Callithrix jacchus: one gene and its partners. The protein of the gene in region 3 purifies or fractionates together with the protein of the main gene of each other region. This does not show direct contact. Links are inferred from orthologs where the notes say so. Each region holds a gene or a part of one and is shown on either strand. Other genes may lie near its edges. The genes, in order: ARPC1A, ARPC2, ACTR3B, ARPC4 and ARPC1B.

The links.
Region 1: the proteins of ACTR3B (region 3) and ARPC1A purify together in Homo sapiens (affinity purification with mass spectrometry; 5 studies listed by BioGRID and IntAct, counting the BioPlex papers as one, with this or other methods). This does not show direct contact. The link is inferred for Callithrix jacchus from reciprocal best matches to the Homo sapiens genes ACTR3B and ARPC1A.
Region 2: the proteins of ACTR3B (region 3) and ARPC2 purify together in Homo sapiens (affinity purification with mass spectrometry; 6 studies listed by BioGRID and IntAct, counting the BioPlex papers as one, with this or other methods). This does not show direct contact. The link is inferred for Callithrix jacchus from reciprocal best matches to the Homo sapiens genes ACTR3B and ARPC2.
Region 4: the proteins of ACTR3B (region 3) and ARPC4 purify together in Homo sapiens (affinity purification with mass spectrometry; 5 studies listed by BioGRID and IntAct, counting the BioPlex papers as one, with this or other methods). This does not show direct contact. The link is inferred for Callithrix jacchus from reciprocal best matches to the Homo sapiens genes ACTR3B and ARPC4.
Region 5: the proteins of ACTR3B (region 3) and ARPC1B purify together in Homo sapiens (affinity purification with mass spectrometry; 5 studies listed by BioGRID and IntAct, counting the BioPlex papers as one, with this or other methods). This does not show direct contact. The link is inferred for Callithrix jacchus from reciprocal best matches to the Homo sapiens genes ACTR3B and ARPC1B.

What each region holds. Positions count from the first base shown.
Region 1 is NC_133503.1:14,252,340-14,258,864, reverse strand, and holds the start of ARPC1A (actin-related protein 2/3 complex subunit 1A), read left to right. Parts: upstream 1-2,739; 5' UTR 2,740-2,842; intron 2,843-6,525. UniProt on the Homo sapiens protein: Probably functions as a component of the Arp2/3 complex which is involved in regulation of actin polymerization and together with an activating nucleation-promoting factor (NPF) mediates the formation of branched actin networks.
Region 2 is NC_133507.1:139,980,405-139,986,480, reverse strand, and holds part of ARPC2 (actin-related protein 2/3 complex subunit 2), read right to left. Parts: intron 3,544-6,076; coding exon 3,357-3,543; intron 2,498-3,356; coding exon 2,404-2,497; intron 1-2,403. UniProt on the Homo sapiens protein: Actin-binding component of the Arp2/3 complex, a multiprotein complex that mediates actin polymerization upon stimulation by nucleation-promoting factor (NPF).
Region 3 is NC_133512.1:95,387,853-95,393,928, forward strand, and holds part of ACTR3B (actin-related protein 3B), read right to left. Parts: intron 2,958-6,076; coding exon 2,832-2,957; intron 1,935-2,831; coding exon 1,851-1,934; intron 972-1,850; coding exon 876-971; 3' UTR 1-875. UniProt on the Homo sapiens protein: Plays a role in the organization of the actin cytoskeleton.
Region 4 is NC_133516.1:66,962,432-66,968,507, reverse strand, and holds part of ARPC4 (actin-related protein 2/3 complex subunit 4), read right to left. Parts: intron 4,853-6,076; coding exon 4,741-4,852; intron 3,581-4,740; coding exon 3,485-3,580; intron 2,007-3,484; coding exon 1,836-2,006; intron 1-1,835. UniProt on the Homo sapiens protein: Actin-binding component of the Arp2/3 complex, a multiprotein complex that mediates actin polymerization upon stimulation by nucleation-promoting factor (NPF).
Region 5 is NC_133503.1:14,190,070-14,196,145, reverse strand, and holds part of ARPC1B (actin-related protein 2/3 complex subunit 1B), read left to right. Parts: intron 1-134; coding exon 135-357; intron 358-2,609; coding exon 2,610-2,717; intron 2,718-4,135; coding exon 4,136-4,342; intron 4,343-4,419; coding exon 4,420-4,495; intron 4,496-6,076. UniProt on the Homo sapiens protein: Component of the Arp2/3 complex, a multiprotein complex that mediates actin polymerization upon stimulation by nucleation-promoting factor (NPF).

The DNA of each region.
Region 1 (6,525 bases), on a different chromosome or scaffold from region 3:
ACCATGTTGGCCACGACGGTCTCAGTCTCTTGACCTCGTGATCCACCAGCCTCGGCCTCCCAAAGTGCTGGGATTACAAGCGTGAGCCACTGTGCCGGCCCATCCGTTATTTTTCTGGTATAACATTTATTGTCACTTATCATAAAGTCTGGTATTAATTTACATGTGTTACTGTCATCTACCCAAATAACAAATTCCACCAAAGCAGTAAGTGTTCCTTATAAAGTGGAATCTTCATAAATCTCTCTACATATTTGGGAATTGGTTATATAACTTGCAGATACTTAAGGAATCCCTGCTTTCCATACCTGCTGTCCTCTCTTTCCCAAGTTGTCTCTTGGAGGGGGTAATTTATGATGACCTTTCTGCTCTATTCCCCTATGATCAAAGACTTTGTAACCATGGGGCAGAGTTAAAATCAGTGACTTTCAGTGCATCGTGCTACATAAACAGCTGTCCCCAATCTTTTTGGCAGCAGGGACCGGTTTCATGGAAGACAATTTTTCCATGGACTAGGGGGGAAGGGGCCAGGGGAGAGGGGCAGGATGGTTTTAGACCATCAGGCATTAGATTCTCATAATGAGCATGCCACCTAGTTCCCTGGCATGTGCAGTTCCCAATAGGGTTTACTTTCCTATGAGAATCTAATGCCCCCACTGATGTGACAGGAGGCAGAGCTCAGGCAGTAATGCGAGAGATGGGGAGCAGCTGTAAATACACATGACACTTCGTGGGCTCACCCTACTCACCTCATGTGCCATCGGATTCCTAATAGGCAACAGACCAGTACTGGTCAGCAGCCAGGAGGTTGGGGACACCTGCAGTAACTCGAAAGAACACAGCAGGTCTGGACAGGAGAGGTGGCTCATGCCTGTAATCCTAGCAGTCTGGAAGGCTGAGGTGGGCGGATCACCTGAGATCAGGAGTTCAAGACCAGCCTGGCCAACGTGGTGAAACCCCGTCTCTACTAAAACTACAGAAATTAGGTTGGCCTAGTGGCACGCGGCTGTAGTCCTAGCTACTTGGGAGGCTGAGGCAAGAGAATCACTTGAACTCAGGAGGCAGAGGTTACAGTGAGCCGAGACTGTGCCACTGCACTCCAGCCTGGGCAACAGAGCAACACTCTGTCTCAAAAAAAAAAAAAAAGAATAACATATCAGGTCTGAAACTGAGAGTTTGACAAGTATACCTACGTAAACCTCAACCTGCAACCAAGCACTGGGATAAAATATGTAAATACCAAAGGGAAGGAGACAAATCCTTGGTTGGCCTGGCACAGGGGCAGGGCTCACACCCAGTGCTTTGGGAAGCAGAAGCTGAAGGACTACCTGAGCCCAGGGGTTCAAGAACAGCCTGTACAATATAGGAAAACCCCATCTCTACAAAAAAATATATAAAAATTAGCCAGGCACAGTGGCTCACACCTATAATCCCAGGGCCTTGGGAAGCTAAAGAGGGAGGATCGCTTCAGCCCAGGAGTTCAAGACCAGCCTGGGCAACACTGCAAGACCCTGACTCTACCAAAAAATAAAAATTAGCTGGCCAGGCACAGTGGCTCACGCCTGTAATCCCAGCACTTTGGGAGGCCGAGGCGGGCGGATCATCTGAGGTTGGGAGTTCGAGACCAAGCCTGACCAACATGGAGAAACCCTGTCTCTACTAAACACAAAATAATGACCGGGCATGGTGGTGCATGTCTGTAATCCCAGCTACTCGGGAGGCTGAGGCAGGAGAGTCGCTTGAAACCAGGAGGCAGAGATTGCAATGAGCCAAGATTGTGCAACTGCACACCAGCCTGGGCAACATGAAACAACGTCTCTAAATAAATAAATAAAAATAAAAATTAGCCAGACGTGGTGGTGTACACCTGTAGTCCCAGCTACTTTGGAGGCTGGGGCGGGAGGACCGCTTGTGCCCTGAAGTTCCTGGCTGCACTGAGCTATGATCGAGCCACCGCACTCCAGCCTGGGCTACAGATCGAGACCCTGTCTTAATGAAAAAAAGAAAGAAAGAAAAAGAATAACAAAAAGGAAAGCTCTCGATTAGTCCCATCCGTGGGGGCTGAAGCTGCTCCAGAATTTCTACGGGTTCAAGGGCAGCAGCCTAGTTGCAGATGGGGGAACCACGGCAAACCTCAGAAGCTGTCCTCTGTGAACTGGGGGCATAGCCTAGCTCCCCCAACCTTTTTCCCTGCGGCGCCATCTTGGGAGAAAGGAACAAGTGACTCTGCCCCGCGAAGATTCGAGAAGGTTCCTGGGGGACTTCAGGGGCTTTCCACAGTGGAAGCACGGCGGGGGCGGGGGCTCCCTGCACGAAGCAGCGCTGAGGTCGACTGGTTCTGACCTGGGCTCTCTGAAGAGAGAAAAACTCAATCGTTGGTCAGGTCCAGGAGCTCCAAAGACCCCCCAATCCTCAGTCACTTATTTCCTGACAAAAGAACTTGCGAAACTGCCGAGGCGCCACACTTTGGCTCGCGATTGTGAGGAAACTGATTGAGGAACGGAATGGGACGCCCATGCCGCTTCGCCAGCACTTGACAGGCGTTCCGTGGGGCCACATTCCCTCTGAAAGGCCACCGCCTGTGCCGCAGCAGCAGCAAATCCGACCGCGTACCCTTCCTCACCACAGTCTACCTAAACCCGGACTGCGCGCCTGTGCTATGCGCATGCGCAGACCGCCCGCACGGCCTCACCGCGCAGGCGCCGTGGCTATTTCCGGGATCTGTCAGCCGCTCCCTCTGGGCTTCCGTCCTCCGCCCGCGCCCGCCGGAGCCTGTTCGCGTCGACTGCCCAGAGTCCGCGAATCCTCCGCTCCGAGCCTGTCTGGACTCCCCGGACCCCAGGTAACGGCCAGCAGGGGCAAGCGTCTCACCCTGTCGGCCTCTCTTGTCCCGGTCTCGCGCCGGACTTGGACCCGCGGGGGCGGTGAGGTGGGGGCTTAGGCCGCGGGGCCCCGAGGCTGAGGCGCGGCCGGGTCTGCTGGGGCCTCCTGAGGGGGCGGGGATCCCCTTTCTCCGCGGGTTCCCTGGAGTTTCTCTCTTGATGTTCAAGCTCCTAGCCGTCTCCAATGCCAGAATTAACGACCTATTCTGCGCCCCAGGGTCCTGATTGCACCTCTGCTGGGGACATTTGTCACCGTCTCTAAAATTGTGTCAAGCAGGAGAATCCCCTAATCGAGCGTCCCGCGGGACCATTCATCTCTTTAGCGTCTGGAGTCGATCCCTGCATACAGCAGGCGCCCATAGGATGTTTGCCTCCTCTCTAGGCAGCCCTCAATCTTTCAGTTACTGGGGAACCTTTCCGATCTCGAGAAAAACCTTCTTCTGAGTTCTTTCAGATCCCCCTGCATGAGTACCGCCTTCCCCCAAGTCAAAATCGCACCCTTCTCGGCTCTCCTGTTCGTAAAATCTTTTATGCCAGTCTTGGCACCACCACTTTGTTGGGTGATCCTGGGAAGACTGCTTCTCTGTGCCTGTTTTCCTCATGCAATAAAAAAGATTCTTACTGTTTTGCTAAGGATCAAATGAGCTTATTTGCATAAATTGCTTAGAATAGTTCCTGGCCTAGAGTAGGTGATCAATAAATATTCACTATCATTACTGCTTCTGGGCGTTCTGTGCATATCTGTCTCCCTTTCCTTTTCTACCTTCTCCACTCTTAGCAACCACCAACCCTCCAGACTTGAAGACCAGAATGGTGTCAGCCTTATTTATGTTTCTGTCCCCATCCCAGTATTTACAACACTGCTGGGAACATGGTAGGCACTTAATAAATTATAGCTTAGAATCTTTGATTATAAAGCCATCTGTTCTACTGCAGCTTTGGAACCTTCTGTCTGTGTCAACTCATAGCTTAAATTGCCGAGATTATCTTAATTCTGCCCTCTCTTCTCAATTTTATCTAGTCTTTCGGTTTTACATAGGCCCTGAGTTTTCAGGTAAAAACAAAGGAGGGGTATCAGTCAGGAAGCTGTTTTTGCCCCGTTAGGAAGTGGGTAACTGTGTGGCTGTTTTCTTCCTTTTTTTTCCTGCCCTGCAGCCTCGACCTCCTGGGCTTAAGAGATCCTCCCACCTCAGCCCCCTGAGTAGCTAGGACAACAGGCATGTGCCACCACAGTGGGTGAATTTTCATTCATTCATTTATTTTTCTGGAGACAGAGTCTCACTCTGTCACCCAGACTGGATAGAGTGCAGTGGCATGGTTCAAGCAATTTTCCCGCCACAGCCTCCTGAGTAGCTGGGATTACAGGGTGAGCCACCACGCCTGGCTAATTTTTTTTTTTTTTTTTTTTTTTTGTATTTTTTGTAAAGACAAAGTCTCGATATGTGGCCCAAGCTGGTCTGAAGCTCCTGAGCTCAAGCTCTCCCCCCACCTCAACCTACCAAAGTGCTGGGATTACGGGTGTGAGCCACGACACCCAGCTTATATGGCTATTTTCTCCCATATTCGGAGTATGTATTAGAAGATCTTGTGGAGTTCATCTACTAATCACACTTAAAGGAAGGGATCATTTTGGAAAACTCTTGTTTTGGAGGTGGAGTTGCCATACTTTAATCTAATTGTTTCCCAGTGCTGAAACAAATCCTTCATGAAGAAGTTTAAAATGGTCTCTTGGTGAGGTTGGTGCCTGGACTGGAGCCTGTCTGAACATTGAGGAGGGTGTGGTGACCTTGTTGGATTACTTGATATTGCTGGGTTGGGTAATGAGAGTGGTTAGAAACTAGGTGAATCACGGTCTTAAAAACTGACCCAAAACCAGGGACAGAAATTCCCACTTGTGTGAATACTTTCAAGCTCCAAAGGAGTAGGGCCAAGAATTTATAGCAAATGTCAACAATTATAAGCTCAGAGGAAACTAACTGCTGGGTTCTATGGTTGGTTTAAAAGCCTTGGGTCAAAGGAAGAAAGGGAACCTACTGACATGTATTTCAGAATAGGCTCTGTACTACTTGCTTTCACACGTTGTCTCATTTAATTCTCCTTGTGATGTCAGTGGTATATCCACTTTACAGAGGGGAAAAAAAATGAGATTGAGAAATATTAAGTGACTTGCCCAGGGTCTCATAGCTAGTGTGTGTCAAAGCCAGGATTCAAAGCCAGCCTTGGCTTCAGAGCCCATGGCTAGCCATACATCAGAATAACTCTATACACAGTGATAAAGAAAAGGGATGGGGGGCAGGCACGGTGGCTCATGCCTGTAATCTTAACACTTTGGGAGGCTGAAGTGGGCAGATCGCTTGAGCCCAGGAGTTTGAGACCAGCCTGGGCAACATAGAGAGATCCTTGTCTCTACAAAAAAATTAAAAGTAGCAGGGCATAGTGATGCATGCCTGTGGTCCCAGCTACTCAGGGGGCTGAGGCGAGAGGGTGGCTCACATTTTTATTTGTCCCCTTTTCTTCCTCTCTAGCTCTACTAAGACAAAGCTTTTCAGATTTCATTTAAACATTAACCATAGTTTAGAAGTTATAATTATCACCCTATGACAGAAGGTACCCTTTCTTAGTATATAATTCAGGCTATTAGGAATTTCTTCTGCATTCACTGGGTTTCATGAATGCAAGCTGTGTTTGCTAGGTGCATTCTAAATTTGACAAACATGAGTGTTGTCCTGGCCTACAGACTTAAAATAGCCATATGATTAAAAAAGAAGTACAGGTCTTGAGTATATGTCCAAACATGGAACTTGAATGATATGGCAAAATTAGAAATGCACACCGTTGTGTAAATGGTCACCTCTTTTGAAGTCTTTGGTACTTTGCTAATAAAACTGAGTTGAAAAATGAGAAAGCCTTTTGTCTACAGCTGTGCTTTTCAACTGGACATGAAACACGTACTTTTATGGCACAAAGATATTCACATCAAATTACTGATTTGCAGAGCAGTTTTATTTTCAGTTAACAAAGAAGCTTATCAAATGTGGCTTTTGAACTAAACCACTTTTAATTAAGGAGCTATTTTATGACACAATGTGTTATTTTGAGTAGCTGTAACTAAAATCTGTTGTGATGGAACAATTTGGAGTGAGCATCTGATATCAGAGATAAAGAGAGAAGCCTGCAGTGAGCATCTGGAAGTCTTAAAAAAAAATTAAACATTCTCATTTGAATTCATCTAAAATTTTTAAAATTGCCAATTCCTAAGCTCTTTCTTTGTCAGTCGTAGTTTGCTTTCTTGACTGTATAACAGAAAAAAGTAATGACTTAAGTATCTTCACTCTTAGAATGGAATGTGAAATGCTGACATTTCTCTGCCAGTTCAAGATATCAGATGTTATTTATTTAAAGTTGCACTTACTTTAGTTCGCCCTTTTTTTTTTGTTTTGATACAGAGTCGCACTCTGTTCCCCAGGCTGCAGTGCAGTGGCACCATCTTGGCTCACTGCAACCTCCACCTCCCATGTTCAGGTGATTCTCATGCCTCAGCTTCCGGAGTAGCTGGAATTATGGGTGCCTGCTACCATGTCTGGCTAATTTTTGTATTTTTAGTAGAGACAGGGTTTCACCATATTGGACAGGCTGGTCTCAA
Region 2 (6,076 bases), on a different chromosome or scaffold from region 3:
GTAAGACATCCATGAGAGTGGAGGAATAAAGTCCCTGTCTTTTTCTGAAAGGCAAAAAGCATCCCTTGGAGCTTGCTTGCCAAATGACAAAAGCAAGACTTGAATTCTGATCAGGCTGGATGTGCATGATGGAAGGGAAAGCCCACAAAGGCCGGCAACAAGTAGACTAATGACTATGAGGAACTTCAGTGTTAGCAGGGTACAACTTTCTGTGCCAGGTGTCCATTATTCTCTTTCCCAAGAAATGTACAATTCCAGGCCTAGGAAAAAGTTCCATTTATTTTTTGGGAAAATCCAGCAGAAGTCCAGTTTTCGATGGTCATTTTCAACAAATTACCTCAGCCTCTGAATTTGGAAAGGGTGGCAGGGCAGATGACTTCCTGAGTATAGCACGGCACCAGGCCGGTTACTATCTAGAGATCCTGTTTGTGCCAAAGTGCAAGAGGCTTTGCCTTCCCTTTTAGATAAGTGCCCTACACAGGTACCGTGAAGGTGACATTTAAATTCATATGCCAAAAAGAATACACAAAATTCTCCTAAGGAACAAATCTCTGTTACACTCTCCAAAAATCTGTTTAAAGTATAAAAATAAGTTGTTTCCTGGAATAAAATGGAACAAGATTGGTAAAAAAACCAGCCAAATCTAAATATATACTTCAGAGCTTTTAAAGTTAGTTTATTACTCTGGATTTAGCCCAATTTCTGAGCTACTGCACTTAATTCCCCTGTCAATTTTGCATAAAAACACATATAATGCCTATCTAGAGGCTTACTTTTAGGACCCAAGAGATATGTGTATATTTATATATTCTTTCATCAAGTTCAGCACTAGCAAATGCTGAAGTGTCAATATTCCAATTTTTCTGTATAGGGACTCCCAAACTAGAGCTTCTGATTAATTAGCCAAAACACAAAAGCCACTAGGGATGGATCAAATTAAGGATATCACTTTTGAAGATTTCCCTAGCCACTTAGAAGGCTATGCAAAGTATCCTCACTGTTAAGCACAGCTGTCTTTCAATTCTATTTGGCAAAAGAGAGTCTGCTTCAGAATTTAAAATCTTTACCAACCTGTCAAGGAACAGAATGACGGTACTAATGTTTTTTAAAAAAATTTCACCACTGTACTAGATTTGGAATGCTGAGCCATCTCAGAAGAAATCACCCTGAATGTCACCTGACCAATGAACTCATACCGTCCTCGAGCCAGGAACTAACAACTGTACACAATGACTTGAATGCAACTACACCACAAATCCAGTTGCTAAATGCCCTGCTAACTCTCATGACTCCTCTTAAGATGAGCTTCTTGTGAAGGAAGTACTCTATGGTGACCCATCCAAATTCAGGGCCACCCTGTCAGTTCAACAACTCTACCTGTTAACAGGTTATCTACTGCCAAAGAATTTGCTATAGAGTCCATTCTAAACCAAGAGCAGACCTTTCTAGAAATCTGAGGAATCACAAGAGGTTAGGTCAAAGACCCGACAGTAGGAAGGATACATAATATTCACTTATAGTTAGCATGTTTAGTTCTCAATTCACCCTTTAGTTCTGTTCTGTAAAACTGGAACCACTGAAAAAAAAAATATCAGGCTGGGAGTGGTAGCCTATGCCTGTAATCCCAGCATTTTGGGAGGCCGAGGTGGGTGGATCACAAGATCAGGAGATAGAGACCAGCCTGGCCAACATGGTGAAACCCTGTCTCTACTAAAAATAACAAAAATGAGCTGGGCATGGTGGCACGCACCTGTAGCCCCAGCTACTCGGGAAGCTGAGGCAGGAGAATCACTTGAATCTGGGAGTAGGAGGCTGCAGTGAGCCAAGATCTTGCCACTGCACTCCAGCCTGGTGACAGATTGAGATTCCATCTCAAAAAACAACAACGCCGGGGTGTGGTGGCTCATGCCTGTAATCCCAGTACTTTGGAAGGCTGAGGAAGGTGGATCTCGAGGTCAGGAGTTTGAGACCAGCCTGGCCAACATGACAAAACCCTGCCTCTACTAAAATTACAAAAATTAGCCCGGTGTGGTGGATGTAATCCCAGCTACTCGGGAGGCTGAGGCAGGAGAATCACTTGAACCCAGGAGGTGGAGGCTGTAGTGAGCCGAGATTGTGCCATCCCACTCCAGCCTGGGTGACAAGAGCAAGACTCCATCGCAAAAAAAAAAAAACAACAACAAACCAAAAAAACCCCCAGAAAAACCCCCCAAAAAACAACAGCAAAACCAAAACCAAACAACATTCACTGAGTTTTACGGGGAGTTGTCTACTAAATTTTCAACAAACTCTAACATTAACAGACCTGCTAGATCTCTTTTTATTTTCTATGCTTATGGTATGTTTTGTTGCAAAGTTATAAGTTGCCATGCATGGTTTTCCCCCAAGATGTCTGCTCCATACCTGCATGAACACCTTTCCAATGACCACATCGTCGTCATCCTTAAACACTGTGCTGAAGACTACCGTGACTCTGTCCTTTTTAGACTCAACATACCTGAGGGGAACAAAACCCAGGAGGATAAGTACAGAATCAGAAAGGGGTTTTGCCAATAACTTGATGTACAAGTGCATCAGAAGGCTAAAGTCATAAATCTCTTGAATCATAATATAAAGGCATGCCAAATGAGATGATATTCATGGTCAACAAGTCAGTGTAAAACATGAATGCCCTGCCCTGAGACAGGCAGGAGATGGAAATTATATCAGAAGTAGATTTTACTGTCTTATAAATATAACATGGAACCTATGGTCACTCTGCCTGCTGACTATCAAGGCTATCCTCTTAAAGAGGACTCAGAACAGTGGTGCCTTAAAGGAAAGCACTGGATTCTCTCTTTTTTTTTTTTTTGAGACGGAGTTTTGCTCTTGTTACCCAGGCTGGAGTGCAATGGCGCAATTTTGGCTCACTGCAAGCTCCGCCTCCTGAGTTCAGGCAATTCTCCTGCCTCAGCCTCCTCGGTAGCTGGGATTATAGGCACGCGCCACCATGCCCAGCTAATTTTTTGTATTTTTAGTAGAGACGGGGTTTCACCATGTTGACCAGGATGGTCTCGATCTCTTGACCTTGTGATCCACCCACCTCGGCCTCCCAAAGTGCTGGGATTACAGGCTTGAGCCACCGCGCCCGGCCAGCACTGGATTCTCTTGCCACCATCTGTCAGCTCTCAGTATCTGGAGAGTATGAAGAGTGGTTGATTTCTGCCCTATCATCTACATCCCGGCTTAAGACATTTTATGATAAAAACACTTTCACACAATATAGCTTAAGGTTTGACCAAGCCATATTTCTTTCAGTAGGTGCCATGGTGGTGAGACGGCCATATCCAGGCTTTAGGACCAAATTCTATACTCACATGGTCTCATCATCCCTATAATGGATAACTGCCCTGTTCTCTCCTTCCTTGCCCTCTTCTTGGAATTGGAAGTATTTTTCAAAGACAGAGGCAAAACAATTTCGCTTCAACATGCCAGCTTGATGCACAATGGAATCCTTGGATGCAGGCAGATTTTCAAGGTCGTATAGCAAAGAGACATTGTATCCTGGAGGGAGGAAACAAACCAGCAGTTATATTAAAAAAAAAAAAAAAAAAGCAGCATACTATCTCAACCAAGTAAATAGAGACTAGAGGCAATTAAACAATTTTTTTTCTAGGTTCTACTGACATTTTAACTTTGTCTCAGTGTCTGTACTTTCAATCCAGGTAGTCCATTTCCATTTACCTCGCAGGGCAAAATGAGGTGAAATAAAATCTTAATTTTTTATAAGATTCTTATAAATATATAGAATGAACAAGGTTTTTTTTTTTTTTTGAGACGGAGTCTTGCTCTGTTGCCCAGGCTGGAGTGCAGTGGTGTGACCTCAGCTCACTGCAACCTCCTCCTCCCTGTTCAAGCAATTCCCCTGCCTCAGCCACCCAAGTAGCAGGGATCTGGCGCACACCACCATGCTAAGCCAACTGTTTTCTATTTTTAGAGAGGGGGTTTCACCGTGTTCGTCAGACAGGTCTTGAATTCCTGACCTCAGGCAATCCACCGGCCTTGGATTCCCAAAGTGCTGGGATTACAGGCATGAGCCACCACGCCCAGCCTTAACTAATGTTAATAAAAAATTTGAATCAGTATCAAAGACGACTGATTACAAATATGTAATGGGGAGAAAGTCATAACCTGTGAACTCTGATTGGAAATTTACTTTTTACTCTTCCAGATACAGTTGTAAAGGAGCCACATATCTTTCTCTGATAGTTTAATGTGCCAAGTATCAATACGGCCAACACATGGGTAGCTTTGTGATAATAATATAGACCATTCTCCGTGCCACTGCCAACTCTGAGGAGGAAGGGTAGAAAAACCAACTATCTGTTCATACATATATCTCCCCAGTAGCTTTTACTGGTATACATTGTAAAACTTTTAGTATTTTTAAGAACATTTTACTTCATTTGATCTCCGTAACAATGCTCTGAAGTCTGCAGGTTAGGTAAGGTTACTGTTTTACGGAGGGAAAGGAGATTCAAAGTGACGTGACTTGTCAAGCGCAGCATGATACGTAAGTGTAGGGCACTCTATTTTGAGTTGAACAGAACTGGGTCCAAATCCTGGCCTTGTCATTTCGTGACCTTAAAAAAAATTGTCAAGTGCAGTGGCTCATGCCTATAATCCCAGCACTTTGGGAGGCTGAGGCGGGCAGATCACCTGAGGTCAGGAGTTGGAGACCAGCCTGGCCAACATAGAGAAACCCCATCTCTACTAAATATACAAAAATTAGCCAGGCATAGTGGTGGGTGCTTGTAATCCCAGCTACTTAGGACGCTGAGGCAGGAGAATCGCTTGAACTGGGAGGCGAAGGTTGTAGTGAGCTGAGATCGCTCCACTGTACTTCAGCCTAGGCAACAAGGGCGAACCTCTGTTTCTAAAAAAAAAAAAAAAGTGGGGAGGGCTATGGAGATAGGGGAGACTGTTGTGAGCATTAAAAAAATGTATAGTACTTAAAATGAGTGGAACATGATAGGTCATCACAACAGGTGCAGAACAGGTACTGAAACCACTGGCTGACCTGCCTTGACAGCATGTCCACTATGAATTCCTGGAAGCAGGGCTGGAACACTTGATTAGCGAATCAAATGGTTAATAAGTGTCAAAAGGCCTAGAGATATTTTCGCAAGAATATTTGTGTATCACTGAGGATCATTTTATATTCTAGGCAACTGACGGGAATAACTTTGCCAGAACTGTATGTATGGATTTCACACTTCTAAGTATCTGAAAACTTTACACCTCATTACTATTTCATTTTTTCTCAAAAGTATTCCTGAGGTCTACGTTTTTTGTTGAGCAGGGGCTCTTTGGAAGGATGGGTGTCTAAATCTTTGGAATAGATAATGCTTAGCACATTTTTGGCACTCCAGTATTAAATAACATGATTCCATTTTGGGTAGCTGAAAACCAGATAAACACACAGACTACAAGGCTAGATGAAAAAAGAAAAGATTTAGAGCTGAGGTTTGCTTGTTTTAGGAAGCCAAATAAAACAAAGCAAATAAAACTACAGCTAAGCTAAAATCTGTTTCTAAGTAAGGCTTCTAAGGATGAAGAGAAGTAAAAATCTAGTATGATTTGCTGAGATTTCCCAAACATGCCTAGATAAACCCATTAAAAAAGAAGAGACTCTACTGTCTTTTTTTTGAGACTGAATCTTGCTCTGTCATCCAGGTTGGAGGGACAGGAGTCTCACTATGTTGCCCAGGCTGTTCTCGAACTCCTGGGCTCAAGCAATTCACCCACCTCAGCCTCCTGAAGTGCTGGGATTACTGGTGTGAGCCACTGTGCCTGATTGACACTACTATCACATACTTTTACATTTTACACTTGTATGAAGACAGGGTCTGCAATGTGGTGACGTCTATGATTTAGTGGGAGGCAGGAGGAGGCCCAGAGACAGAAACATACTTTCCACGTCAGGATTTTGGCTTTGACAAGCATGCCCAAGACTCTGGACATGATTTTTCTGTTCTAGATCTGTATGTTTCTTTACTTCTCTTTCTTTAATATGATGATACTGCCAAAAGCCTAC
Region 3 (6,076 bases):
AGAGTTTGCTGTTTTATTTGTTTGCCTATAAACATATCGGAACATGCCTCACAATTAAAAACTCTGGATTACAGCACTCCATGACATCAATATCTATTCGTGCTTAGTATCAGCCAGTTGTACCAAATACCATAAAATACAAAAGGATAGGAAATATAAACATCGATTTGTATTTCAAGTTTAAACATTTTATTTACAAAAATAGGCTGGGAAGAAAAGGGTTTGCGCCCCCACATTCTCTCCTGGTGCACAACGATTTTGTGCCATTTTCTAAGGTTGTTTTCTCTGATGATTTCCAAAGTCACATTTGGATTCCTTCAGAATTGTATTTGTCAGCTAGCAGCTCGAGGAGGAGGAGGAGGAGGAGGAGGAGGAGGAGGAGGAGGAGGAGGAGGAGGAGGAGGAGGAGGAAGAGGAGGAAGAGGAGGAGGAGGAGAAGGAGGAGGAAGAGGAGGTGGAGGAGGAGGGAGAGGAGGTGGAGGAGGAGGAGCAGGAGGAAGAGGAGGAAGAAGAGGAGGAGGAGAAGGAGGAGGAAGAGGAGGTGGAGGAGGAGGAGGAAGAGGAGGTGGAGGAGGAAGAGGAGGAGATGGTGGAGGAGGAGGAAAGGAGGAGGAGGAGAAGCAGGAGGAGGAGGAAAGGAGGAGGAGAAACGTGGGGAAGGAGGGCGGATGAGGGAGGAGGCTGGCAGACAGCGTCGGCACACGGATAAATGGCTTTGACTGAAGGACCGCGCCGCGCCTCATGCACCGGCAATGCAAGCACGCTGCTCCGCAGCAACACCGACGTCACTATTTACAGAACGGCGGCCTTCTCTGGGTTCTGAAGGACACTTGTTCCCCAACGTGACACCATCAGACGACGCTTTCAGGCAGACACTAGGACATGACTCCGAAGACGGGGTTATGGCGGCAGATGCTGGGCCCGTACTCTTCATAGTCCTTCTTGGTGTGGCAGACCTGAAAGAACTCCGGCTACCAGAGGCAACAGGCAGAAGGAGAGAACGCATTTCAGAAAAGGGTCAGCAGAAAGCTGCTACCGCACAGGCAAGACGCTCTTCTCATCCCAGCCTCCACCCTGCCTCACGGGACCACTGCTGGAAGACTTTACCTCTTTGATGGACTGAACTACTAAACGGGGGGTTATTTTACTTTTCAAAAGCTTTGTCAGCCTCTATCTTCTTAGGACCAACCAAATGCTGCTCCCCCACTAACAACGTGTGAGCTATTCACAAATTTGAGGGGGAAAAATAATTATTATTTGGAAAAGTCACTGGAATTAATGATTAATGTGGGATTTTTTTCAGATTATGTTTGGATTCCACTTAGCATGTTATCTGTAACCCCTAATTATCAAGGATACTTGATAAATGTGTTGTGTGATTATTAAGATATAGTTTACATAGGGCCAGGCACATTGGTTCACACCTGTAATCCCAGCACTTTAAGAGGCCAATGCAGGTGGATCACCAGAGGTCAGGAGTACGAGAACAGCCTGGCCAACATGGTGAAACTCCATCTCTACTAAAAACAGAACAAAAAAATTAACCAGATATAGTGGTAGACGGCTATAATCCCAGCTACCTGGGAGGCTGAGGCAGGAGAATTGCTTAAACTCAGGAGGCAGAGGTTGCAGTGAGGCAAGATCACACCACTGCACTCCAACCTGGGCGACAGAGTGAGACAGAGCAAGACTCTGTATCAAAAAGAAAAAAATATATATATATATATAGTTTATATCTACAGAATTGTCTGTTTAGAGTGCACACTATTTCACCTTCATAGACAATATTTGCCCAAACTCAACAGCAAGCACAGGCATGGAAACACAGAGCCCTTGAGAGAGGGACTTACAGTCGAGGCCAGCATGGAGCCTCCGAACCACACTGCATAGCGCTGCATGTGATGCGTGACCACCTGCACCTCCACAGGCTTCGGCTGGAAGAGAAAGCAGCTCTCACTTACTGCACGTGTGCAGACACATCTGCGATCCAGTCACCCTCCAGCTGACCCGACCATGGCCTCACCCAGGGTCACCCTCCACTCAGTGGCACAAGTACAACCTCGCACCCGGCAGTCAGTGACTCTCTGCCTCTGCTGCCAAATCCCCCGCCAGATCTACGACAATTCCAGCCCTGGGGGCTCAAAGGAACACGGTACGCCCCGGCAAGCAGAACCCCCTCTCACAACACTGAGGGCATTAAAGTACAGAAGTACAAAGCAACTAGCCTCACTGATTTTTTTTGACCAAACATTTCATCCCAAATAAGACTGACCATCCCCAAAATACAAAAAGAAGCTATGTTTTCCCAGCAGTGGACTCGTGCACTCTCTTCCTGGACCCCAGCTCCCCTATCCAAGCCCGCTCTTGGTTAGAAGCCCAAGATAATCACCAGCTGCCTGAGAATTACTATCTTGGAGAGACGCCTTGTAACTCCCTGCTAACATTAGTTATTTTCGTTTAATGAGAACATTTCCAGAGAACATGAGAAGATAGATCCTCACCGTAAATCAGAACTATCTCCTGGGGACACTGGTCATTGCGCCCCATGTCGTAAGAGTACGACACAAAAGGCAACTGCTGGCAGGTATGACCAGGAAGACTGTGAAGCTGCTGTGGCTGTGTCACCAGGACCATAGGTCTGAACCACCAGTCTGGAAGGAGCTCCGGTAGCAAACCTCTGTGGTAATGTCACAATGCAGCTCAGAAAGCAACACACATTTGTTTTTCTTTCACATGGCCCAGACAAACTCTGTGTCAGGAAGGCCCGAGTCGGGCCCAGCGCAGAAACCGCCCTCCTCCCCCAGCACCACGTGGAGGCCCCTGGCTCCTACCTTGATCCTCCCGCCGCTGAGCTCCTCACTGAGCCTCAGCCTGGCATCCACTACTCTCTTCAAATCTCGTTGCAGTCGGCGTCCGAAATCCCTGAACATAGTGGAGCCTCCTGAGAGAACGACATTCTACAAGACACAAAGTAGAGGGAGCCTTGGGTAAAATCACCCGCAACAGAACCCCACAGGCCCAGTTGCTTGTGGGCATGACACACCGGCCCTATGAGAGACACAAACAGAAGCAAAGTTAATGCTATTGGAAAAATGTAGATTTCTTCTTTTATGGTGATAACAATGTGTCACAGATGGCTCCTGAATCCTTTCCTCCATTACAGCAAAGTAAAAACAAGGCGATTCTGCTCCCTCACGCTCCCCCTGCCTACCCCTCACAAGGACCAGGAAGCCACAAGTAACAACAGAAACTGTCCAGCTGACTTGAGCCACATGACTACTGGCTCTCCCACTGCTTTGCCTTAACCATCACCAGGGGAAAGTCTTCTAATGGATGCTCGAAGGCTCTTAGAAGGACGATCTTGAAAGAAAGCATCCAAGTTACCCAAAGAAACGTTCTCCAGTGAGCCACCCGGCCAGTACTGCCCTCCAGTGCCAGGACTCACTCAGTGGCCACACAGAAGCTCGGTGTGGGGCTGAGGAAGGGGAAGCACCTGCTTGCTGCGCTTCCTCTGCCCAGAACCTCAACCAGCCCTCTGTCCAGTGTTGTTCATGCTGCCCGCCTGTCAGTCATCCACACCATCAGCTCCTGACCTGCAGCCACTGACATCCTCATGGCTTGATGGCCCAGGTCACTGAAGCAGCCAGTCCTCTTCTGATGCACGTCAGAGGCTACAGTGGCCTAACCTACGTCACTCACCTCTCGCCCTCTCACCATGGGCACTGCATCATCTCATACCCTCACAAGACAAGGAAGGGTGAGTACATACAGTAAGATATTTAGACAGAGAGAGAGACCACATTTATATAACTATTCCTATAGTATATTGTTATAGTAATTATTCTGTTTTATTATTAGTTATTGCTGTTCAAAAGTCTCTTACTGTGCCTAATTTCTAAATTAAACGTGATCATAGGTATGTATGTACAAGAATAAACACAGTATATACAGGATTTGGTACTAGCTGCAGTTTCAGGCACCCACTGGGGGGTCTTGAACCGTATTCCCCACTGACAAGGGGGAATAATATATCTCCGATTTAACTTTCTTAGAGAAAACACCAAATGAGAAAACTACATAAGGAAATTAATCCTTCAAGGTGTCAAAAAGCCCTACTTGCTTTAAGACACTCTAGATATGTTAGCTCTTCCCAAGTTTCTGACCAACTGTAGAACTCTGTTTTTCAGGAACTCCTCCCAGTCAGCTCTGTGTGCGTGAACAGTGAGTCCCTCACCAAGTTTACAAGTAAGGAGAAGTCACAAGGAATCAGTACAGGAAAAAAATCACTTTTCTGTCCCCAGCAACCCAGGTTCTAAGTTGTATGGTGTGAAAGCAGTCCACTCCTGCTTATCGCTGTCCGGAGGAAAGACAGCCAGGACGGAGTGCACAGGGGTCATTTTTCTCTCATGCCAACTCCTAGAACTGCTGTGACAGCACTCACGTAGACTCAGGATTAGATAACTGAAGTCAGTGCAGGAAGAATGAAAGGGGGCAGGAGCCATGGGAAGTTACCAGGGACCTGGCCTTCCACCTGGAGAAGCCACCGGGGACCTGGCCTTCCATCTGGGGAAGCCACCGGGGACCTGGCCTTCTACCTGGGGAAGCCACCGGGGACCTGGCCTTCCACCTGGGGAAGCCACCGGGGACCTGGCCTTCCACCTGGGGAAGCCACCGGGGACCTGGCCTTCCACCTGGGGAAGCCACCGGGGACCTGGCCTTCCACTTGGGGAAGCCACCGGGGACCTGGCCTTCCACCTGGGATCTGCCCCAATCCTACCCTGAGTGTCTGTAAAAAGAAATTTCACCTCTGATTACCTACCAACAGCAGATGTTTCATAAATCATCTAACATGCTGTAGCTGCTCAGCTTCTAAGGTGAAAAGGCCGTCAGGGGCTAAAGAAGCTGTGTCCAAAGCTGTGTCCAACCCTTTGAATCCAACAACATTTTTGTTTATCTGTAGTGAATATGAAAAAAATTATGCACAGGACCTTTTTATTAGCTTGCCAGCTGTCAATAGCGTTAGTGTATTTTATGTGTAGCCCAAGACAATTCCTCTTCTAATGTGGCCCAGGAAGGCTAAAAGGTTGGACACCCCTGAGCTAAAGCTTCTACAGTGGCTTGGCCGGGGACAGAGCCATGGGAAACCATCAACAAGTGGCTATCTGTGGTCTCACCAAACTGTGCCACAATTTTTTTTATCAGCTTCGAGAATCTTAAGTCATACATATATGCATGTATTTCAAGACAGAGTCTCACTCTGTCATCAAGGCTGGAGTGCAGTGGTGTGATCTCGCCTCACTACAACCTCTGCCTCCCGAGTTCAAGCAATTTTCCTGCCTCAGCCTCCCAAGTAGCTGGGATTACAGGTGCCCGCCACTACGCCCAGCTAATTTTTTGTACTTTTAGTAAAGAAGGGGTTTCATCATGTTGACCAGACTGGTCTCGAACTCCTAACCTCATGATTCATCCACTTCAGCCTCCCAAAGTGCTAGGATTACAGGTGTGAGCCACCACGCCCGACCAAGTGTAATATGTTTATGGGAAGAGCTGGGCTTGGCCTTCAGGGACAGGAACCAAGGTGGTTCTGAGGCCACCTTTCCTCAGAGGGCTCTCTGCAGCAGTGAGAGATCTCCTGGAACCTACCACCCCGCCCCACTCCTGGTGCCTGACCCCCACTTCTCACAGGGAACAGCCCTGAACACAGCAGACCCTCTGTAAGACCCCCGCCTTACAGAGACTATCTGATAATGAACACACTGGATAAAATTCCTGGCAACGGTTCTCTGCCACCAGAATTGTGCAGTCTGTCCTCATCTGGGGGTTTCATTGCTACAAGCTTGTTTGCTTTCTTAAAACTCTGTGGGCATGGCCAACCGAGGAAAGTGCTGTCACGTCCATTTCTCAAGAGGTGACCCCAACAACCCTGGCCACACGGATACTATGAGGTAACTGAGCACCTGTCTTGACAAATTTTAAGTCTAGTTTTCAAGCCAACATCCTGTCCCAGGATCAGCACCATGAATAATCACTGTTGTCCTCTATCACCTTGTGGAGAAATCTCTCATGACCAACCTGA
Region 4 (6,076 bases), on a different chromosome or scaffold from region 3:
TGAGGCATGTGCTCAGCAGCTCCTCACCCTGCCCTCTCCATACTCCATACTTAGCCCACTCCACAGCCACCCGACCTTTGCATGCACCTGATTTGTGACCCCTGACACATCTAAGATCTAAGATAGGTTATGGTACTATCTTAGATCTCTGAGTCAGACAACCCAGTTCCATGTTCTGGTTCCTCCTCTTACTGGCTGAGGGACCTTGGACAGTTGCTTTTAATTCCAGAGTCCCAGTTTACTGATCTCTAAAATGGTGATAATAGCTGACTCAAAAATTGTTTTGAGGCCGGGTGTGGTGGTTCAAGCCTGTAATCCCAGCACTTTGGGAGGCTGAGGCGGGTGGATCACGAGGTCAAGAGATAGAGACCATCCTGGTCAACATGGTGAAACCCCGTCTCTACTAAAAAATACAAAAAATTAGCTGGGCATGGTGGTGCGTGCCTGTAATCCCAGCTACTCGGGAGGCTGAGGCAGGAGAATTGCCTGAACCCGGGAAGTGGAGGTTGCGGTGAGCCGAGATCGTGCCATTGCACTCCAGCCTGGGTAACAAGAGCAAAACTCCATCTCAAAAAAAAAAAAAAAAATTGTTTTGAGTAATAAATGGGACATGTGAACATGCTTTTTTAGGTGTCTAATTCTATGAAATGTAATTGTCACAAATAAGTAAATGATTATTGAATGAGTGAGCCAAAGATTCAATTGGAACAAGAGCTATTTTCCCCTTCCAGTTCAATCTAGAGGCCTCCTAGTACCCTGGACATAAAATTTTGATACTGCAATACATGGAAAGCTTACTATGTACCAGGTGCTACATTTTACACATATGGTCTCATTTAATGCTCAACCACTCTGAAAGACATGTATTAACTACCAAATCCTCATTTCACAGCTGAGGAAACTGAGGCTTAGTTGAGAATTCAGTGACATGCCTAAGTAGGCGGTGGAACCTGGTTTCACACACAGGTTGTCGGCCTCCACAGCTGACTGAGCTCAACAACCACGCTGATCTGTGTGCACAGCACAGCTACTTTGTATGCTGGCCACCCTGAGTATAATTAAATCCCAGGGGAAGCAGGTATAATTTCCATTTTTAGCAATCTGAGCTCCTTCTGGACTGGGTGTGCACTCACTGGTGAGAGTACACACTAAGTCTACTGCCTAGAGATCACAGCCACTCTGGGTAGAACATGCCAACAAACCAAAGATTGTTTAGAAAAGTAGAAAAAAAAAGAAGGCATGTCTTGAATATCTAAACAACTAAGAACTATGTCATCAGTTACCAATGTAAATAATTCCACCTCTTCATATGACTACAGTCCTTTCGATTAGAAAGGCATAAACAATATAAGAGGAATCTGGAGGACTTAGGCCATGCAAGTGATGGAAAACAGGTTGAAGGAATCATGACTTTAAGCCTAAGAAACAGACGCTAAGGAAAGTACTGATGTCTATTTGAGAAGTGGAATTATACCATGATTAACTGTCCTATATTCCGGGAAAATTCACATGCAGACTTCACTTGCCTCACTTAGGGTTTGAACTAGATAGAGGTAAGGACTTTATGAACATCCTGAGATATAGAAATGAGTGTCCAAGTTCCTACAAGAGACTAAGAGACATCCTAGACACCCAAAAATACAGAAAATGCCTGTAGCGCTCAGAGATGAACCTGGGGCCTTCTAGCTCCAAAGCACCTGAGCAACCTGCTGTGTTCTAGGGGTTCCAAAGATATAAACACACTGCTAGCACCCCTTTCCCACCAGGTGCTAAGTTCTCAACATGACTCCAGATCCTTCAGCCTCTGGAAGGAAAGCAGAAAAGCCTATACTCACATTCTTAAGGAACTCCTCAGCCACAATGCGGGCACGGGCATTGACTGACAGCTTCATTTCACTGATCTCCTTGTCAATCTCCTCCATGAAGTGGATCACAAAGTCCACCAACTTGTGTTTGTACATCTGCTCTGTGTGGAAGTTGGTGATCAGAAAGCTGATGTCATACCCCTAGGAAAGAAGACAGCAGGGAGGAAGAAGGGAAGGAACAGGAGAGAATTAGCACCCCAGGGGAAGTGAGCTGGTCATGTCCTCCACTCATTCACATGTTTCTCACTGGCTGTGATCTTCTCCCAAGCTACACACCCTTCCAGTCAGCAGCCCACCTGCTCTGGGGAAGGGCGTGTAGGTTGGATCCAAGCAACTCAATCCAGTTGAGAATTCTGTGTGTATCAGACATCTCTGGAAGACTATCTGTGGCACAAACAACTCTACATTCAGAATGAGTCAAGGCACTTGAAGTCTTGTTACAGAAGAATCTAATCAAACAACAGGGAACATTTAGTCCAGAAAAGAGATGATGTGGAAGATGAGTGGGATTAAGGTATTTTTTCTGCTGGAGGCGTATGTGAGGAAGAGGAATTTTATTTACTCCAGGTGGCCAAAGAGGTTAGATCTAGGACCGGGAGAGAAAAATTTGGCTCAGGATGAGGAAGAACTTGGCCAACATGCCTGATGTATCTGATGATGGCATATCCTGCTGTGTGGTAGTTGTGGGGATGCTTTAAGTTAAGTTGGTAAGGAGTCTGTGGAGGAGGGTCAAGTACAAAGTCAGGCAACAACTGACCCAGTGTTAACTGTGGCTTTAAGAGACTATGATTCACTTTAGGAGGCCGAGATGGGTGGATCACCTGAGGTCACGAGACCAGCCTGACCAACATGATGAAACCCCATCTCTACTAAAATTACAAAATTAACCAGGCACGGTAGCACATGGTAGCTACTCAGGAGGCTGAGGCAGGAGAAATGGTTTGAACCTGGGAGGCAGAGGTTTCAGTGAGTCGAGATCACATCATTGTACTCCAGCCTGGGCAACAAGAGCAAAACTCCAACGACAATAACAACAACAAAATCACTGTGCTCTTTCTGCTGCTAGACTGTAGGCTCTGGGAATAAGCAATGTATCTTATATTTTTTGCCTTTTCCTTTTTCTTTTTTTAGATGGAGTCTCACTCTGTCACCCAGGCTGCGTGCAGTGGCACAATCTCGGCTCACTGTAACTTCTGCTTCCCGGGTTGAAGCAATTCTCTGCCTCAGCCTCCCGAGTAGCTGGAATTACAGGTGCCCGCCATCACACTGGGCTTATTTTTATATTTTTAGTATAGATGGGATGGCACCATCTTGGCCAGGCTGGTCTTGAACTCCTGACCTCATGATCCACCCTCCTCGGCCTCCCAAAGTGTTGGGATTACAGGCATGAGCCACCACTCCTGGTCCTTTTTTGCCTTTTGTATGGCTGAGGTAGACCCAACTTTTCCTAGGCTTCTGATCCTCTTGGTTCCCACTCCAGCTGAGATGAAGGCCAACTCTCAGTTCAGGCGGTGGTGCCAAACAGCTGGAAGAGCAGCAATCCAGGTTCTAGAAACAATTCCAGGCCATTCTGTAGCAGGATCCTGGGTATTGCAAATTCATGGGTCACAAGGTCTCACCTCCACAGGCTTTCTTCGAAGGATGAAGAAGTTTTCTGCTCGCATCATCATGAAGCGCATGAATTTGTGGCATAAAATCTTCTCAATCTCATCGGCCTGGGAAATAAAAGGGAGAAACATTTCTCTAAAGCCGACACCCAAGCCAAAAATACCCTGTAGCCTGGTCTTCTGACTCCAATTTCTCCAAAGCTCCCAGGAGACAGTGAGGTTTGGTACTCGGAAGGATCACTGAAGTGAGGGACCTGGCTGCCAACTGAAACAAGGGTCTATCTTGGGGCATCTCTTAATGAGGACCCATTCCAGAGAGGTAATTCTGGCAAACAGAGTCTTTTATGGCTTCTTTACGAGTCTACAGCGATACGCCAAGCTGCCCTTCTCATTCCCACTTCACTAGTGTTACATTTCCCAGGGTGTGTCGCAGCACCACCTGGGCTATCAGAGATAACTTTAGGTGGTCTCTGCTTTATAACACTGAACATCCAACAATCTCTGAAGTTTCTCCCTTCTGAACTCTCAACATTTCTTTTTTTTTTTTTTTTGAGATGGAGTCTCCCTCTGTTGCCCAGGCTGGAGTGCAGTGGCACAATCTCAGCCCACTGCAACCTCCACCTCCCAGGTCCAAGTGATTCTTGTGCCTCAACCTCCCAAGTAGCTGGGATTACAGGCACGTGCCACCGTACCCGGCCCTGAACGCTCAACATTTGTAAAGAAAGACTTCTGCAGCTGGTTGCTAGTATGCCTTAACACCTCCCAACACTTGTTAATCTCCCATTCTAACAAAGAAAGCAGGCCCCAGGGTTAGAACTTTCTGTAGAACACAGTATGTAGTCTGCATTTAATAATGCTGTTTTGTTTTTATCCTGTTGACAATTTAGAGTTGCCCACTACTGGCTGGGCATGGTGATTCATGCCTGTAATCCCAGCACTTTGGGAGGCTGAGGCAGGCAGATCTCCTGCGGTCAGGAGATTGAGTCCATCCTGACCAACATGGTGAAACCCCATCTCTACTAAAAATACAAAAATTAGATGGACATGTTGGTGGGCGCCTATAATCCCAGCTACTCAGGAGGCTGAGGCAGGAGAATTGCTTGAACCTGGGAGGCAGAAGTTGCAGTGAGCCAAGATCTTGCCACTGCACTCCAGCCTAGGCAACAAGAGTGAGCCTCCATCTGAATGTGGCACGCTGATCTCTCAGATGGGGACCCCTGGATTGAAAGTGAGGTCCTTATGTTACGTCTCTTACAAGGTGACCTTACCTGTTTCACAGCAATGCTGACCCGGACAGAGTTGATGGAGCCCTCAATCAGAACCTTTTCCTTCTCATTCCTGCTGATGGTCACAGGTTGTAACAGGAGTTCTTTGCTACTCCTGAAAACACAATGTCACAGAGTACTCTGTACTATAGAGGGACACAACAGTCAGAGTGACCCCACAGCAAGTCCTGGAATCACTATGACACCATGGAGTCCAAGGAATAGAAGACTCACAAGCAGAAGTGCTCCAAGATGGGGACCAGTGAGTGTGTTCTTCAGCAGAAAGAGCACAGGCTCTGAAGTCAGAGCGAAAAGGTTTTGAAATCCAGCCTCCTCTGTTACTTTCCTGGGCAAGTTACCCTGTTGGAATCTCAATTTTCTCATCTGTAAAATGACTCTGATTCCTATTTCATTGGCAAGGACTGAGAGAGATCAAAAAAGGGTCAGGTATCTAATAGCGTGCCTGGCACATAGTAGGAGCTTTACAAAGGACAGCTGATTTTAGTAACTACAAGTTAAATATCCCCAATCTGTAAATCTGAAATCCAAAATCTGAAACTGGCTGGGCACAGTAGCTCATCCCTGTAACTCCAGCACTTTGGGAGGCTGAGGCAGGTGGATCACTTGAGGTCAGGGGTTTGAGACCAGCCTGGCCAACATGGTGAAATCCCATCTCTACTAAAAACATAAAAATTAGCCAGGTGTGGTGGCACACCCCTATAACCCCAGCTTCTCAGGAGGCTGAGGCACAAGAATTGCTTGAACTCAGGAGGTGGCAGCTGCAATGAGCCAAGATTACACCACTTTACTCCAGCTTGAGCGACAGAATACGACTCTATCTCAAAAAAAAAAAAATCTGAAAGTTTCTGAGTGCTGACAAGATGCTCAAAGGAGATGCTCACTGGAGCATTTGGATTTGGAATTAGGAATGCTCAACTGGTTAAGTATCTGCAAATATTCCACAATCCAAAATACCTCCGGTCCTAAGCATTTTGCTTAAGGGATACTCAACTTATACAGGCAAATCAATATACCATTTAGAAATGCAGAGAGAATACCTGTCTTAGAAGTAGGGAAAGACTAAAACTGAACACAGTTTGGCTTCCTTTAATTATCAATCCAGAAATGATTATTTTTTTTTGCCTCTAGGGGCGGAGAGTGGCAGTCTATAGGAAATAACACAAAGGGCAGAGAAGATCAAAATCTGTCACACCAAACCCACTGATCCCCTATTCCAGCTCCCAAGAAGCCAAGTAGCACTGAGGGTGTGAAGCTCTTAAGACACCACAGTGAACCGAACAGACTAGGCCTTCAAGACCCCTACGAGTTCAGGTTCCAA
Region 5 (6,076 bases), on a different chromosome or scaffold from region 3:
AAATAAAAAGTGCCTGCTGGGCAGATACAGCTTCCATCTGAATTGTGGCCTTTCAGCCTCTTCTACATGGCCACCGTAGAGCCACCTCTGCCTGAGTGCCTTCAGCCTCGTGTGTCCCCTCTGTCCCCCCACAGGCATCGACTGGGCTCCTGAGAGTAACCGAATTGTGACCTGTGGCACAGACCGCAATGCCTACGTGTGGACACTGAAGGGCCGCACGTGGAAGCCCACGCTGGTCATCCTGCGGATCAACAGGGCCGCCCGCTGTGTGCGCTGGGCCCCCAACGAGAACAAGTTCGCTGTGGGCAGTGGCTCCCGTGTCATCTCCATCTGTTATTTCGAGCAGGAGAATGACTGGTGGGTGCCTGGATGGGGCCAGAGTGGACTGGAAGGGACGAGGTGGGGGACTAAAGTGTCCCCGGGAAGTACCAAATGAGATGTCAGGACCCCTGTTCCTACGTCCCTAGGGGAGTCCATCCTCTCCTCTCTGGGCCTCATTCATGAGGCAAGCGCCTCTCTGTAGTGCCCGGATGTTTTCACTGCCAGCGGCTTGGGATAATGGCACTGACCACCGGAAACACCTCCGGGGGTACCTCGCTAAGCCCTGCACACACAGCAGTCCTGACCTCCCTGCAGCTCCATGGACTGGGCATCTCTCACTGTCCTCACTCCACAGATTAGCAAAGTGAGGTCCTGCTGCGAAGTCACTTTCTCAAGGCTCCGCTCACAAGCTTGCAGCCACATCTTGGTCTTTTTTTTGAGAGTCTCTTGCTTGAGCCAGGCTCGAATGCAGTGGCACAATCTCAGCTCACTGCAACCTCCACCTACTGGGATCAAGTGATTCTCCTGCCTCAGCCTCCTGAGTAGCTGGGATTACAGGCGCCCACCTCACGCCCAGCTAATTTTTGTATTTTTAGTAAACACGGGGTTTCACCATGTTGGCTAGGCTGGTCTGGAACTCCTGTCCTTAGGTGATCTGCCACCTCAGCCTCTCAGAGTGCTGAGATTACAGGCGTGAGCCACTGCACCCAGCCATTCTTTTCTGTTTTTTTGAGATGGGGTCTCATTTTGTCACCCATGCTGGAGTGCAGTGGTACAATCACAGCTCACTGCAGCTTGAAACTATTAGGCTCAAGTGATCTTCCTGCCTCAGCCTTCTGAGTAGCTGGGATTACAGGCATGCACCATCACGCCCAGCTAATTTTTGTATTTTTAGTAGAGACAGAGTTTCACCATGTTGGCCAGGACGGGTCTCAATCTCTTGACCTTGCGATCTGCTCGCCTTGGCTTCCCAAAGTGCTGAGATGACAGGCATGAGCCACAGCGCCCGGATATTTATTAATTTATTTATTAATTAATGTATTTATTGAGAAGGTGTTTCACTCATTGGAGTGCCAGGCTGGAGTGCAATGGTTTGATCTCAGCTCATTGCAACCTCTGCCGCCCGGGTTCAGGCACTTATCCTGCCTTCAGGATTACAGGCATGCGCCACCATGCCTAGCTAATTTTGTATTTTTTAGTAGAGACAGGATTTCTCCATGTTGATCAGGCTGGTCTTGAACTCCCAACTTCAGGTGATCTGCTTTCTTCTGCCTCCCCAAGTGCTGGGATTATAGGCATGAGCCACTGTGCTGGCCATATATATTTTTTTGAGACAAGGTCTTGCTCTGTCACCCAGGCTGGAGTGCAGTGTTGCAGTCATAGCTCACCTTAGTCTCAGCCTTCTGAGTTCAAGTGATCGTCCCACTTCAGCCTCCTGAGTTGCTGAGATTACAGGCCCAGCTCATTTTTTTATTTATTTTATAGAGACAGGGTCTTGTCATGTTGTCTGGGCTGGTCTTGAACTCCTGGCCTCAAGCAAGCCTTCCACCTCAGGCTCCCAAAGTGCTCAGTCTACAAGCCTGAGCCATAGTGACCAGTCCACGTCTTAGTTCTTTATGTTTTTGAGACAGAGTCTCTCTCTGTCACTAGGCTGGAGTGCAATGGCGCCATCTCTGCTCACTGCAACCTGTGCCTCCTGGGTTCAAGTGATTCCCCTGCCTCAACCTCACAAGTATCTGGGACTACAGGTGCTCGCAACCATGCCCAGCTAATTTTTGAATTTTTGGTAGAGTTGGGGTTTCACCATGTTGGGCAGGATGGTCTGGATCTCCTGACCTCGTGATCCACCTGCCTCGGCCTCCCAGAGTGCTGGGATTACAGGTATGAGTCACCATGCCTGGCCATGTGTTAGTCCTTAATCTTCTCCCCTGCATGGCTGAGGGCAGAGGCCAGGCAGGAGCATCTGAGAGACACAAATTTGAATCCCACCATGGCCAGTTAGCAGCTGTGTGACCTCTGGTGGTGGCATTACTTTGCTGAGCCAGCTCGGAGGGTGACTGTGTGGCTTACAGTATAGAGGGCACAGAGTTCTCACTCCAGAAGCAACCCAGCACATCCCTGCTGCCCCACGGCCCTGGCAGCCTCGTAGGCTGGGAATAGCCATTTGCCTCCCTCCTGGGTCTTCGGTGGCTGCAGGGAGCAGTGGGTGCCTGGAGTCCCTGGTGCTGAGGTCCGTGAGTCCCACCTGCCTGTCCCTCTCTCCTTGTCTGCCTGACCGCTGTGCCCAGGTGGGTTTGCAAGCACATCAAGAAGCCCATCCGCTCCACCGTCCTCAGCCTGGACTGGCACCCCAACAATGTGCTGCTGGCTGCTGGCTCCTGCGACTTCAAGTGCCGGTGAGACAGGGCACCATGGGGGAGGGCGGGGCTGATGTCAGCTGACTGCCGAAATCACAGCAGGGATTGGGGGGTTGGGGGACCTCCACCTGAAAGTTCTACACCTCACCTTCTAGACCTCCTCCAGAGCTGCTATCAGTGGATGACCTGGGCATCAGTTGAAGGTTCTAGTCCCTGGGGAACCCTTCATGTCTCAGCAGGACGTGCCCCCGCCCACCTGTTTTATTTTTTTGAGATAGGGACTTGCTCCATTGCCCAGACTGGAATGCAGTGGTGTAGTCATAGCTCACTGCAGCCTCCAAATCCTGGGCTCAAGTGATCCTCTTGCCTCTCATCTTCCCAAGCAAGACTACCATGCTCAGCTAGATGGGCTTTTTTTTTTTTTTTGAGACAGAGTCTTCGCTCATTAGCCCAGGCTGGGGTGTGGTGGTGCCATCTCTACTCACTGCAGCCTTTGTCTCCTGAGTTCAAGTGGTTCTCCAGCCTCAGCCTCCGGAATAGCTGGGACTACAGGTGCATACTACCATGCCTGGCTGATTTTTGTATTTTTAGTACAGATGGGATTTCACCATGTTGGCCAGGCTGGTCTCAAACTCCTGACCTCGGGTGATCCGCCCACCTCGGCCTCACAAAGTGCTGGGATTACAGGCTTGAGCCACCACCCCTGGCTGACAGGATCTTGCTGTGTTGGCCAGGGTAGTCTTGAACTTCGGCCCTTGCCACCACTTAATGCCAGAAAAGTTCTTCCCAGGGCCTTCTCTCCTGACTCACGAGAACTTCCTACCCCTATAGTTTCCTGGCTTCAGTCTGAAGGAAAATGAGTTGGTGTGCTTATTCATACCAAGGTATAAATGACTGAAGCTGAAACAAACCCTGCTTCATTGTTTTAAGGCCTGAAACAGAGTCTCCAGCTGCCATTCACTGTTTTTATTTTTTTTTTGAGACAAGGTCTTGCTCTGTCACCCAGGCTGGAATACAGTGGGGCAATGACAGCTCACTGCAGCCTCGACCTCCTAGTCTCAAGCAATCCTCCTATCTCAACTTTGAAAGTAGCTGGGACTATAGGCACAACCACTATGCCCGGGTAGGTGCTTTTATTCTTAGTAGCAATGGGGTCTCACTATGTTGCCCAGGTTGGTCTTGAACTCTCGGCCTCAAGAAATCCTCCCACCTTAGCCTCCTAACAGTGTTGGGATTACAGGCATGAGCCACTGCGCCCAGCCACCTGTTAACCCTTTAAAAATATATTTTTTTAAATTTTGAGTCAGTCTCTGTGGCCCAAACTGGAATGCAGTAGTACAATCACAGCTCACTACAGCCTTAACCTCCTGGGTTCAAGTGATCCTCCCGCCTCAGCCTCTTGAGTAGCTGAGACTACAGGTGTGCACCACTTTACCCTTTTTTGCCTCTCCTGATAGGATCTTTTCAGCCTACATCAAGGAGGTGGAGGAGCGGCCGGCACCCACCCCATGGGGCTCTAAGATGCCCTTTGGGGAGCTGATGTTTGAGTCCAGCAGTAGCTGCGGCTGGGTACATGGCGTCTGCTTCTCAGCCAGTGGGAGCCGCGTGGCCTGGGTGAGCCATGACAGCACCTTGTGCCTGGCTGATGCCGAGAAGAAGATGGCGTGAGTAGAGGCCATCCCTGGGGAGGAGGTGAGTGCAGAGGAGTGGGACAGCATGGCTGACAGCTCTCTCCCCTCAGCGTCGCGACCCTGGCCTCTGAAACACTGCCGCTGCTGGCGCTGACCTTCATCACAGACAACAGCCTGGTGGCAGCGGTAAGGAATGGGGAGGGAAGGAGGGGGGGGTGTGGTCAGAACTTTGTGGTAGGCTTCGCAAAGAGCCCAGCAACTCTCACTCATCTCTTCCCTCCTTTCTCCTGTCTCCCGCCTTTTTTTCTTCCTTGCATTCTTGGGTTATGCTGCAGTAACCGAAAGACCCTGGCTGCAGTTGCTTAACAGAATAAAGATTTGGCCAGGGCCGAGCGTGGTGGCTCACACCTGTAATCCAAGCACTTTGGAGGCCAAGGCGGGCGGATCACCTGAGGTCGGGAGTTCAAGACCAGCCTGACCAACACGGTGAAACCCCATCTTAAAAAAAAAAAAAGATGCCGGGCGCGGTGGCTCAAGCCTGTAATCCCAGCACTTTGGGAGGTCGAGGCAGGTGGATCACAAGGTCAAGAGATCCAGACCATCCTGGTCAACATGGTGAAACCCCGTCTCTACTAAAAATACAAAAAATTAGGTGGGCATGGTGGTGTGTGCCTATAATCCCAGCTACTCAGGAGGCTGAGGCAGGAGAATTGCCTGAACCCAGGAGGCGGAGGTTGTGGTGAGCCGAGATCGCGCCATTGCACTCCAGCCTGGGTAACAAGAGTGAAACTCCATCTCAAAAAAAAAAAAAAAACAAAAAAAGATTTGGCCAGGTATGGTGGCTCATGCTTAAAATCCCAGGTTAAGGTGGAAGTATCACTTCCACCTTATGAGGCCATGAGTTTGAGACAACACCGTGAGACCCTTGTCTCTGCAAAAAGTTAAGAAATTAGCTGGGTGTGGTGGTGTACCTGTAATCTCATAATCCCAGTTACTTAGGAGACTGAGGCAGGTGGATCACTTGAGCCTGGGAGGTTGAGGCTTCTGAAGTGAGCTATGTTCATGCCACTGCACTTCAGCCTGGGCAACAGAGAATCTGTCTCAAAAAAAAAAAAAAATCCAGGCTTGGTGGCTCATGCCTGTAATCCTAGCATTTTTGGAGGCTGAGGAGGGCAGATCACTTGAGGTCAGGAGTTCAAGACCAGCCTGGCCAACAAAGCAAAACCCTATCTCTAATAAATATACAAAAATTAGCCAGGCATGGTGGCGGACACTTGTAACCCCAGCCAGCTACGGGGGAGGCTAAGGCAGGAGAACTGCCTGAACCCAGAGGCAGGGGTTGTAGTGAGCCAAGATCCTGCCACTGCACTCCAGCCTGGGCCACAGAGATTCCATCCCCCTCCACCCCCCTCCCCGCCAAAAAAAAAAAAAAGAGATTTACTTCTTGCTCACATTATATGTCCAGTGTGGGTGTTGTGAGGGGCTCTGATGGAGGCTGTCCCCAGCATGCTGCCCCAGATGCCATGAGGCAGCTGGAACCTGGGGGATAATGCCCTGGGTCCTAACATTTCTGCCCATATTTTATTGGCTAGTGCAATGGCAAGGCCACGCCTAATGCAAAGGCAGGAGTTCAGGGCATGCAGTTCCTCCAGGTGTCCGGGAAGGGCGCTGCTCTCCCTCTCCTCTCCCCACATCTATTAAGTCCCTTTTCACCCCTCGGCAAACATATGGGGGTGCCAGGGGCAGGTTAGGCCTGATTTTTGCCTT